Linked DNA regions of Sus scrofa. The protein of the gene in region 1 binds, or shares a complex with, the protein of each later gene. Links are inferred from orthologs where the notes say so. Each region holds a gene or a part of one and is shown in the gene's direction. Other genes may lie near its edges. The genes, in order: C2H19orf57 and HSF2BP.

Evidence for each region.
Region 2: the proteins of C2H19orf57 (region 1) and HSF2BP are in contact, whole or in part, in a crystal structure (PDB 7Z8Z), measured with the Mus musculus proteins. The link is inferred for Sus scrofa from reciprocal best matches to the Homo sapiens genes BRME1 and HSF2BP. Residues at the interface, in NP_083321.2 of Mus musculus: Met541, Gln542, Asp543, Ala544, Thr545, Val548, Arg549, Leu551, Val552, Leu555, Ser556, Asn559, Ile562, Met563, Thr565, His566, Leu569, Lys573; in NP_083178.1 of Mus musculus: Glu23, Phe24, Val25, Lys26, Val27, Arg28, Asp31, Leu32, Arg34, Leu35, Glu38, Val39, Gln41, Ile42, Phe45, Leu46, Arg48, Ile49, Glu53, Leu54.

Annotation. Positions count from the first base shown.
Region 1 is NC_010444.4:65,251,083-65,255,477, forward strand, and holds the start of C2H19orf57 (uncharacterized protein C19orf57 homolog), read left to right. Parts: upstream 1-1,441; 5' UTR 1,442-1,519; coding exon 1,520-1,621; exon of another isoform or gene 1,622-1,893; intron 1,894-2,359; coding exon 2,360-2,411; intron 2,412-4,395. Other genes in the region: CC2D1A (coiled-coil and C2 domain-containing protein 1A), read right to left, coding at 1,098-1,157. UniProt on the Homo sapiens protein: Meiotic recombination factor component of recombination bridges involved in meiotic double-strand break repair.
Region 2 is NC_010455.5:206,626,292-206,630,621, reverse strand, and holds the start of HSF2BP (heat shock factor 2-binding protein), read left to right. Parts: upstream 1-1,478; 5' UTR 1,479-1,618; intron 1,619-2,601; 5' UTR 2,602-2,822; coding exon 2,823-2,858; intron 2,859-3,836; coding exon 3,837-3,987; intron 3,988-4,330. Other genes in the region: RRP1B (ribosomal RNA processing protein 1 homolog B), read right to left, coding at 1,244-1,373. UniProt on the Homo sapiens protein: Meiotic recombination factor component of recombination bridges involved in meiotic double-strand break repair.

The DNA of each region.
Region 1 (4,395 bases):
AGTCATGATGCGCTGCTAGCCAAGTTCAGTCGGGAAAGAAGGGCCCACACCCTGCCCCAAAGCAAAGCCACTCTGCACACCTGGCCTTTTGCTTTCCAGCATCTTCAGCAGAGACAGCCATGCAGGAAGGTTGGAGGCATTGAGAGTAAAGAGAAAACCCAAACAACGCAGAAGTTGAAAGCGGGGCCTTTGCCACATAACATACCTGTCTTCCTATCCTATTCTGGTTAATGACTAATCATGATGTGCTAATATTAGGCTGAACTACACAAAATTACCTTTTCTGTGGGTCAAACATGGCCAAATATGGTCAATTTTATATGGCTCTACCTAAGAGTAATAATGATGATGACAACACTTATTGAGTGCCATGTTCCAGTACATTCCATAAACAATCTCAAGGAATTTTCACAGCTATCCTGTAACATAGGGCCTCTTAAGGCCTCCATTTTACAGATGAGGAAACTGAGGCTTAGAACTGTGAAGTCCAATGTGCAGAAGCCAGGAGGCAACTTCAGGTGAGCCAGACTCTGATATCTGAGCACTAAGTTATGGCTCTAGTTCCTTACAGCAAAGCTCAGAAAAAAATCAAACTCTCCCAAAGGAGATGAAGAGAGGAAGAAAGGGCCCAAGCACAGTCCTGTGGGCTCATGGCAGCGGCTCTGGATTTGCACTTAGTTCTGGCCAAGCAACTTAGCTCTGCCCTGTGACCTTGGGCAGGTGTCTTCTTCTCTCTGGGCCTCAGCGTCCCCATCTGCACAATGGGGATAAAGAGTCTGACCTGGCCCGACTGATGAGAGGGTTCCATCAGTGCTCAGGCCAAGAGGGTAATAACTGCCTTTCTTACTCCAGGTCCGAGGCCTTCCCCTCCCCGACAGTAGCTGCCACGGCAACAGGTGGCCCTAATCCCTGAGCGGGGCATAAGGAGCTGGGGAGACGAAGTAAGTAGGCCCCATTTTGGGGGTTGACGCTAACCTGAGGGGGCGGGGACCGGGGCTCACCTGGGGGTGGAGATCTGACTCCTCTAGGGGGTGGGGCCCTACCTTGGACAAGGGTGGGAAGGGTTCTCTCGGCCCGGCCGTGGAGTACAGACTCACCTGGCGAGCGGTGGCGGCACCTCGGCCTGGAGGTCCCGAAGGTCCCTTCTTCTTGTGCATCTCCCAAGCTGGATACTCGGACCACCGGCCCCCTGGCCTGGCCTTGCCCGGCCTTCTCCCCCGGGGCCTATGGCCGCGCACGCGCCCTTCCTGAGTCCCGCGCCCCTCGTTGGCACCCCGCGACCGCCGACCGCGTACCCTCTGCCCCTCAAGTGGCCGCCCTACTTCCGCCTCGGCCCTTGGGCGCCGCGGCACCTGAGCACAGCAACTGGACTTGCCGGGCCCGCCGCACTGAAACTACAACTCCCGGCAGGAAGTGCGCGAGCGCGCACGCGCTGCCTCAGGGGTAGTGGGAGGTACCACGGGTTGCTCAGGAAAGAGGCGGGCGTACGCGAGTGAGAGGGGCGGTGCTGGCATCGCACATGCGCACGACGGGGCTTCATAGTGCGCGGGAAAGAGGCGGAGCGTTTGCCGGTGTGAGGCTTGGCAGCGGCACCCTGGTTCGTGGCTTTGCGCGGCCACTTGTGAGCTCTAGTCTCTCTTGGCGGTCCTGGTCTGGGCATTTCTTACTTTTTGGTGGCCTGGGTAGGGTTCGTGTGGCCTAGTCACCGGAAGCTGGGTCCAGAGCACTCGGGCCTCGGATCCTCAGCTACTCGACCTCTGTTTGGGCCAACTCTGCCTTTTATTTTCTCAAAAATTTTTTCGCAAATAATTTAACCGAGTTATCCCCAGCAGTTCCAGGTAGACCTCCTCAGTTCCCGATAAGGACAGAAGGACCTTGACTTCTCTGGCCCAGGTCGGTTTTGTCTTCACAGGCCCTCTAGGCTGGAAGGAATTGACCTGTGAAGACTGCTGCCGTTCCAAGGCCCCAGGCATCCCCTGAAGGCCCCCTCTTAAAGGACCCCCAGGTGGCCCCTCTAAAGCACTTAAATGACTCCAAAGTGTACTAGGTGTCACTTCAAAAGACCCGGGTGGAGAGAGGGGGCTTCACACAGGCTACCCCATCTTAGATACTGAAAGGGGACATCCCAGGGCTTCCCATGGCCCCAGCCCCCAACCCGCTATCTGCAGGATGAAGGCATTTTAATTCTTAGCCTGCCACAGCCCAAGGTAGCTATGACTCCCACCCTATGTTCCCCTGCCCAGTTGACCCCTGGGGCAGCCAGATGGGCCCAAGTGGGGGTGGGGTGGCCTCAGCCAAGGCCACTGTGTCTGTACCGAGTTAGGAACTGGTTGTAATGACGAAATCTGCTCCTTTTCAGATTTCTCTAGGGAGGGATAAAATGAGTAAGAGGAAGAAGCTTCGGACCTCAGGTATTTGGATGTTCAAGTTGGCACTTCTTTATTGCTTCTTCTGCTTATAGGAGGAATGTGGGTTTATGGCAGAAATGCTAGCATGACCAGACCAAGCTCCTGAGCAACAATGACCTAATACATGCTACTAAGAAAAATGTAAATTATGGAGAAGTGCTTGCAGTAAAAAGTGAAAGCTTTGTGGAGCTTCCTCCAGCCTCTAGTGGGATCCCACAGCCTTGGGAAGATCCACTAGGCTTCAGGAAAGGGATACAGCCTCTATGCTGCCCACTCTCAGAGATGACCTGTGAGTAGAGCTTGACATGCTTCAAGCTTAGCATCTGGTGCTAAGTGCTTCACTCTCAAAACAAAACCCTGAGTTCATCTCACTGTGTGATGGCAGAAGACTTACTCTGTATCTCACTTTCCTCCTCTGGAAATAGAGGACCTACCCTTTCCTTTAGAACAGGGACTCTCAAGCTGTCAAGGGGAGCATTTGGCAATGTCTAGAGGCATTTTTGTTTTTCATAACTGGTGTGTGTGTTTGCCAAGGGGCTGTGGCCATTTAGTGGATCTAGGCCAGGGATGCTGCTCAAAAATCATACAATGCGTAGGACAGCCCCCACAACACAGAATGACCTATCCCCAAATGTCAGTAGTACTCTAAATGGCAACAGTGCCACAGTTGAGAACTATGCCCTAGAGCTCACATGTGGATTAATATTTGTAAACTACTGAGAATAGACCCATGATAGTACACAAATATATCTTCTGTTATGATTGTCCTTTCAGATTAAAAAAAAGCTTTGTTTTGAAACAATTTTGAGCTTACAGAAAAAGTGCAGAAATAGTTCAGCATTCTGTCTACCCCTCCCCCAGCTTCCCCTAATATTAATGTCCCCCACAACCACAGGACAATGATCAACCATATAGTACAACATAAAAAAGATAGGAAATGAACTTCAGTATACTACTTCCAAACTTTCTCTTTGTATATACAAGTAGAGTGTTGTTATTGGAAAGTAGAATCATCACACGTGCAGATCCGCATCCTCTGTTTTTCACTTCATAGCATTTTGAGGCCATCTTGTCAATATACATACAGAATTTCCTTGTTCAGAAAGAAAGACACCCAGAATTACATTAGGATAGCTCCATTGCCCTGTCACTGCCTTAGGTAATTTAAATTTCATAAAAATTTAGAAATAACCCCTTCACTTAGTGGTTAATGAGCTTTGGGTGTAGAGCTTTTATTTCCCCAAGATATGGGACAAGAAAGAAATCATTAACAGATTGAAGATGTTTAGTGCAGTGATGAGCAGCAGGCTGCCTGGAGGTACAGGGATTTCTCTGACCTTGGAGAGGGAAGCTGGGGACAGCCTGGCCCACCCACAGCAGGTCATCTTGGCAGTGCGCTCCCTAGTTCAATGTGCTCTGGGCTGGCCCAGGACAGCTCTTTCTCTGTGTCCTGGATGGGGTGGGGAGAAAAGAAGATGATTCTGGCAGGTAGTGAAAGAAGCCCTTTCCATCCTGATGTCTTTGGCCTTTGGTGTCGAACACAAGGTTCTGCTTTAGTGTTTCTTCAATTAATTCTGTGGGGACAGATCATAGGAAGGAAATGGGAGCCTCTTCACGTCTGTTGATATTCTTGCTTTTTATTTGGTACGAACGTCCATTGGATGAGTGAAGCAAGCTAATGTTTGGGCATCTTAAGAAACTAAATAAATGAAGGGACTGAATTTTTGCATTTTCTGGCAGACCACAAGGTAGGACCGTGTTTGTGTAAGAAACATTGGTTGGAGCCTTGCTCTGGTTGGGCCCCTGAGGTGGGGATGGGAGGCAGGGCGACAATGAGATCAAAGGGTGCAGCAGACTCAGTTCCTGTCCTCAACACCTTCATGGTCTTGTCAGGAGAAAAAGAAAAATGCTTCTCACTGAGAGCTAATCAAATATGCAACAGTGAGGCAAAATTCTAAATGGGCATACACAAACACTAACAGATAGA
Region 2 (4,330 bases), on another chromosome or scaffold:
ACACTAGATGCAGGGCTGGGGGACAAAAAGAGGAAGAGGCGTCCAGGACCATATACCCTGCGTCCAACTGGAGTCTGAGTGGAGGATGGGAACTAGTGCCCAAAATAAAAGAGCAGAAGAAGATGAGCCTCTGTGGGGCATTCTGAAGCCTGAGGACATCCAGGTGGAGGTGCCAGGTGGGAAGGGCATATCTGAGCTGCAAGCAGCAAAGGTCTGGGTTAGAAAGTTCGGTTTAGGAACACACAACATTTATGGAATAAGAGGAAATCAAGTCTGTCAGGAAGACCCTAACAGATTTGAAGTCAGGAAGTCTGGCTTCGTTCCTCTTCCTAGGACTTCCCAGGAGAGTTTATCTTCTTTTTCCCAGAAGCCTTCAAAAGAAGGCTAACTGAGCGATCAGCACAGGGGGAGACATCCATTCTTTAAAACAGACTCAATGTATTAACACTAGCAGCAAATCGGACTTTTCCTCAGTGCAATAAAAAACTTCACCGCACTGTAATCCATGCCTTCAAAGGTTTACACCGGACCGGGTAAATACGATTCCTCAATGGCACCCCGCTGCAGTTAAAACCCAAACTGAAGAGCCCGCTGTGACCTGGCCACTGCCTACTTTCCCAACTCGCGTCCTAACACCCTCCCTCTCTCTCACTTACCGCTCTTCCAGCTCCTCATTCGTGCCCCGGCTCAGATCTGGAGAACATCACCCCGAGAGGCCTCCCTGCAACAGTCTTTGGAGAGGAGCTTCCCCGTTCCTCGGTTTTCATTTCCTTTACTCCACTTACACGAGTTCCGTTTCAGTTATCTATTCCCCCCCCCCCCCGCCAGATTTCCCGGGATAAATTCCTCGGGGGTAGGGATTCGGACTTCTCCGTCCTGGTCAACTGAAGGCGTGACTCAAGGAAGAGCGCACCAGAATCAAACAGGTGAGTGCACTGATCCCACGTGCAAGCTCTGGGAGGGCAGACTGGGACGGTTCTCGGCTTTCCGGCTCACCGGGACCCTCAGCGGACCACCTAACCCCCTCCGCCGCCGCCGCTCAACCGGAGAACCGGTGGAGACCCCGCAGGAAGTGGACACAGAGAAGCACACGGCTGTGCCGCACGCTCTCCCCGCTCCGCCCGCGGCTCCCCGGGCCCGCCCCCCACTCCCGCCAGGACCCCCCCCCCACCGCGGCTCCCTCCCCTCACCCCCGCTCCCCCACCCCGGCCGCCATGTGCGCGGCGGACCGCAGGGAGCCCACCTGTCTCCCTCTGTGTCTTCACGCTGATGTACTGGCGCAGCTTCTTCACCGCCCGGTCTCGGATGCCCTTCTCGTGGGACGCCAGCCGTTGAGCGAACTGGATCTCGGCCGGCTGCATGGCGGGGGCCATCGCGCCCGTTGGAGCATCCCCGGCCGCAGCCCGCCGCCGCCGAGCGCCCGCCGCCGTGCCGCGACTGCGCAGAAGGCGCCGGCGCGCGGGCTGATGACGTCACAAAGGCGCCGCTCGCCGCTCGCAGAGCGTTCCGCGAGCTGCGGGCCGGGCCCCGGCGGAGCGACGCTCCTCCGGTGCGCGTCGCGCCTCTCCGCCGCCGCCGCTGCCTCTCGGTCGCCAAGGCTCGGGCCGTTGAGGGCGAGGTTAGCCAGCGCTGGGTGTAGGCCGGGAAGAGACGGAGGGCCAGTTTTGCGTGGTCTGGAATCTTGCCCACTTCACAAAATCTCCATCCAACCGACCCGCAGCTGTTCCCGGGAGATACACGGCACCGGGTTTTTACGTTGGCCTCCTCGGGCCGCGGTGGGAACGGGGTTCTGGCGGGAGGTTGCGGGCAGCCCGCTGGAGGGGCGCCCGGAGCCGGGGCGAGGACTGGGTGCGTGTGCTGGTGCGTGCACCCGCGGGCCTGGAGAGCGCGTACTCCGGGCACTCGGACAGTGTCGGCTTGTGTCCGGCTTTGGACAGAAGTCCTAGTTGTGCGATAATCGGTACCTTTTTTTTTCTTTGGTGTTTTTGTATTTTTCCAGGGTCGCACCCACGGCATATGGAGGTTCGCCGGCTAGGGGTTTAATGGGAGCTATGGCCGCCGGCCTACACCACAGTCATGGCAACTCGGGGTCGAGCTGCGTCTTGGACCCACACCACAGCTCACGGCCACGCCAGATCCTTAACCCACTGGGCGAGGCCAGGGATCGAACCTGCAACCTCATGGTTCCTAGTCAGATTCGTTAACCACCGAGCCACCACGGGAACTCCCGTAACCGGTACCTTTGAACCCAGAGCTTGCACCATATGTTACGAACTCAGTGGGCATATGGGGGCTAGTGAATGGACCAAACGATGTCTCCCAGTCCATGGGGTCGTCTCAGTTCCTTAACCTGCTGGCCGGACTGAGGCTCCCTTATCTGGGGCAGACACCGCCGCCGCCGCCGGCGGAGCCTGTTGTCAGAAAGCTTCGACCTTCGCGAATGGAGTTTGGAGCTGAGCGCGCGAGAGGGGCCGCCGGCGGCTGCTTCGCGTGAACGCATGGCCCCTTAGTCTAAATAACACCCCTCGCCAAACATCAAGGACCCGAATCGAGTGATTTCACTGGACACTGACACGTGGGTCTCCCTGTTCTTCTTTGCAGTTAACAAGTTACGACCTCGGCCAAAGCCGGACGAGCCCACGCGGGATCTCGCCTCCACACCCCCGGCCCGTGGGGACCGCGATGCAGCGAAAGCTCTACGAGGTCTGAGCCTCGCGGCTCCCCGTACCTGACCCCGGCGTGGACGCGTTCCCGCGCTCGCCGGCGTGAGGGGTCCGCGCGTGCGCGCCCGCGCAGGCGCACGGAGCCGAGACCGCGCCGCCATGGGCGAGGCTGGCGGCGCTGAGGAGCCGCGCCGGGTCAGTGCCGAGGCTCGGGTCGGTGCCGAGGCGCGGGCCGCCGCCCGCGAGTTCGCGCTCTTGCCCTCGGCTCCCCCGCGCTCAGCGGGGTCTGCCTGGGCCTTGCTCGGGGGCTCGGGGAGGCCCCGGACGTCGTCTGCGGGCAGCGTGGCCAGGGCCGGCGGTGGGGGGCGGCGGCTCCGCCTCCGGAAGCGCGGGGGCCGCGGGATGGGCGGGGGCCGTGCCCCGGTGCCCCTGCGCCGCCCCCCGGGGGCCCCCCCCGCACGGCCCTGAGGCAGGCGGGGCAGGCGGGGCGCGGGTCGGGGCGAATCGGCCGCCCCAGCGGGAGCTCCCCTCCGGCCGCGCCCTGGAGCTGCGTTCAGGGAGATCCCAGCCTCCCGGCCCGTCTCCTGGCGGGTTGCGAGTGCGGGGCCGGGTGGTCAGCCCGGGGCTTGGCGCCCAGGGGGAAGGGCCTTTCCTCCTGGGAAGCTTGGTGCTGGCGCCTAGGAGAGCGCTGCCGGCGTGTTCCTTGGCCTTCGGGAATGGGGCCTCGCTCGCCCTGACAAAGTGGCTCGGAGGTCCCGTCGTGGCGCAGCGGAAACCAAGCCGGCTCATCACCGCGAGGTTGCGGTCGGTCCCTGGCCGCGCTCAGTGGGTTAAGGAGCCGGCGTTGTAGGCCGCAGACGCAGCTCGGGTCCTGCGTGGCTGCGGTGTAGACCGGCAGCTGCAGCTCTGACTGGACCCTCGCCTGGGAACCTCCCTGTGCCGCGGGTGTGGCCCTAAAAAGACACACAAAAATCGGCTGGCGATTCGAGGCCGATTCGAGGCCGGGGCTTAAACTCGGGAGGCGGAATTGCGGGGCCGAGGGCTCCTCCGGGGAAGCCGCGCTTTCCCAGCAGCCGGGAGCCCGAGGCTTTCCGGAAGGACGCGGCCGCTGCCCGGCTGGCTGGGCCGTCGGAGGAGCAGCGCGCTGGTGCCAACATGCGCTTGCTCTTTCAGCTCGTGGGGGCGAAGGAAGAGTTTGTCAGGGTGAGGAAGAAGGACCTGGAGCGCCTGACCACCGAGGTGATGCAGATTCGGGACTTCCTGCCCCGGATACTCAACGGGGACGTGCTGGAGAGCTTCCAGAAGCTGAAGATGCTGGAAAAAAGTGAGTCTTCTCCACCTCGAGCCGTCGGTGCCGGGCGGCCGTCTGTCTCCGCAGGTTCGCCTCCTGCGGGTCGCGGCCGCGGTGAGTGAGCCGGGAGCTGCCCTTAGCGTTTTCCCGATGACGCTGGGGAGACAGACACGGACAGAGAAGCCGGCTCGCCTGTGCGCTTGTGCCGAGGAAGGGGCGCCAGCTCTCAGGGCATCTGGCAGCAGCTCTTCTTTCTCCCCTTCCTCGTTGGGCAGGAGGTTTTCGTACTTTTACGACTGAAAAGTTCCAGAAATTAACTCCTTTCTGACGCGATTAGGGATCTTGCTGTGTGGCAGCCCTGCGAGGAGGCAGCCGT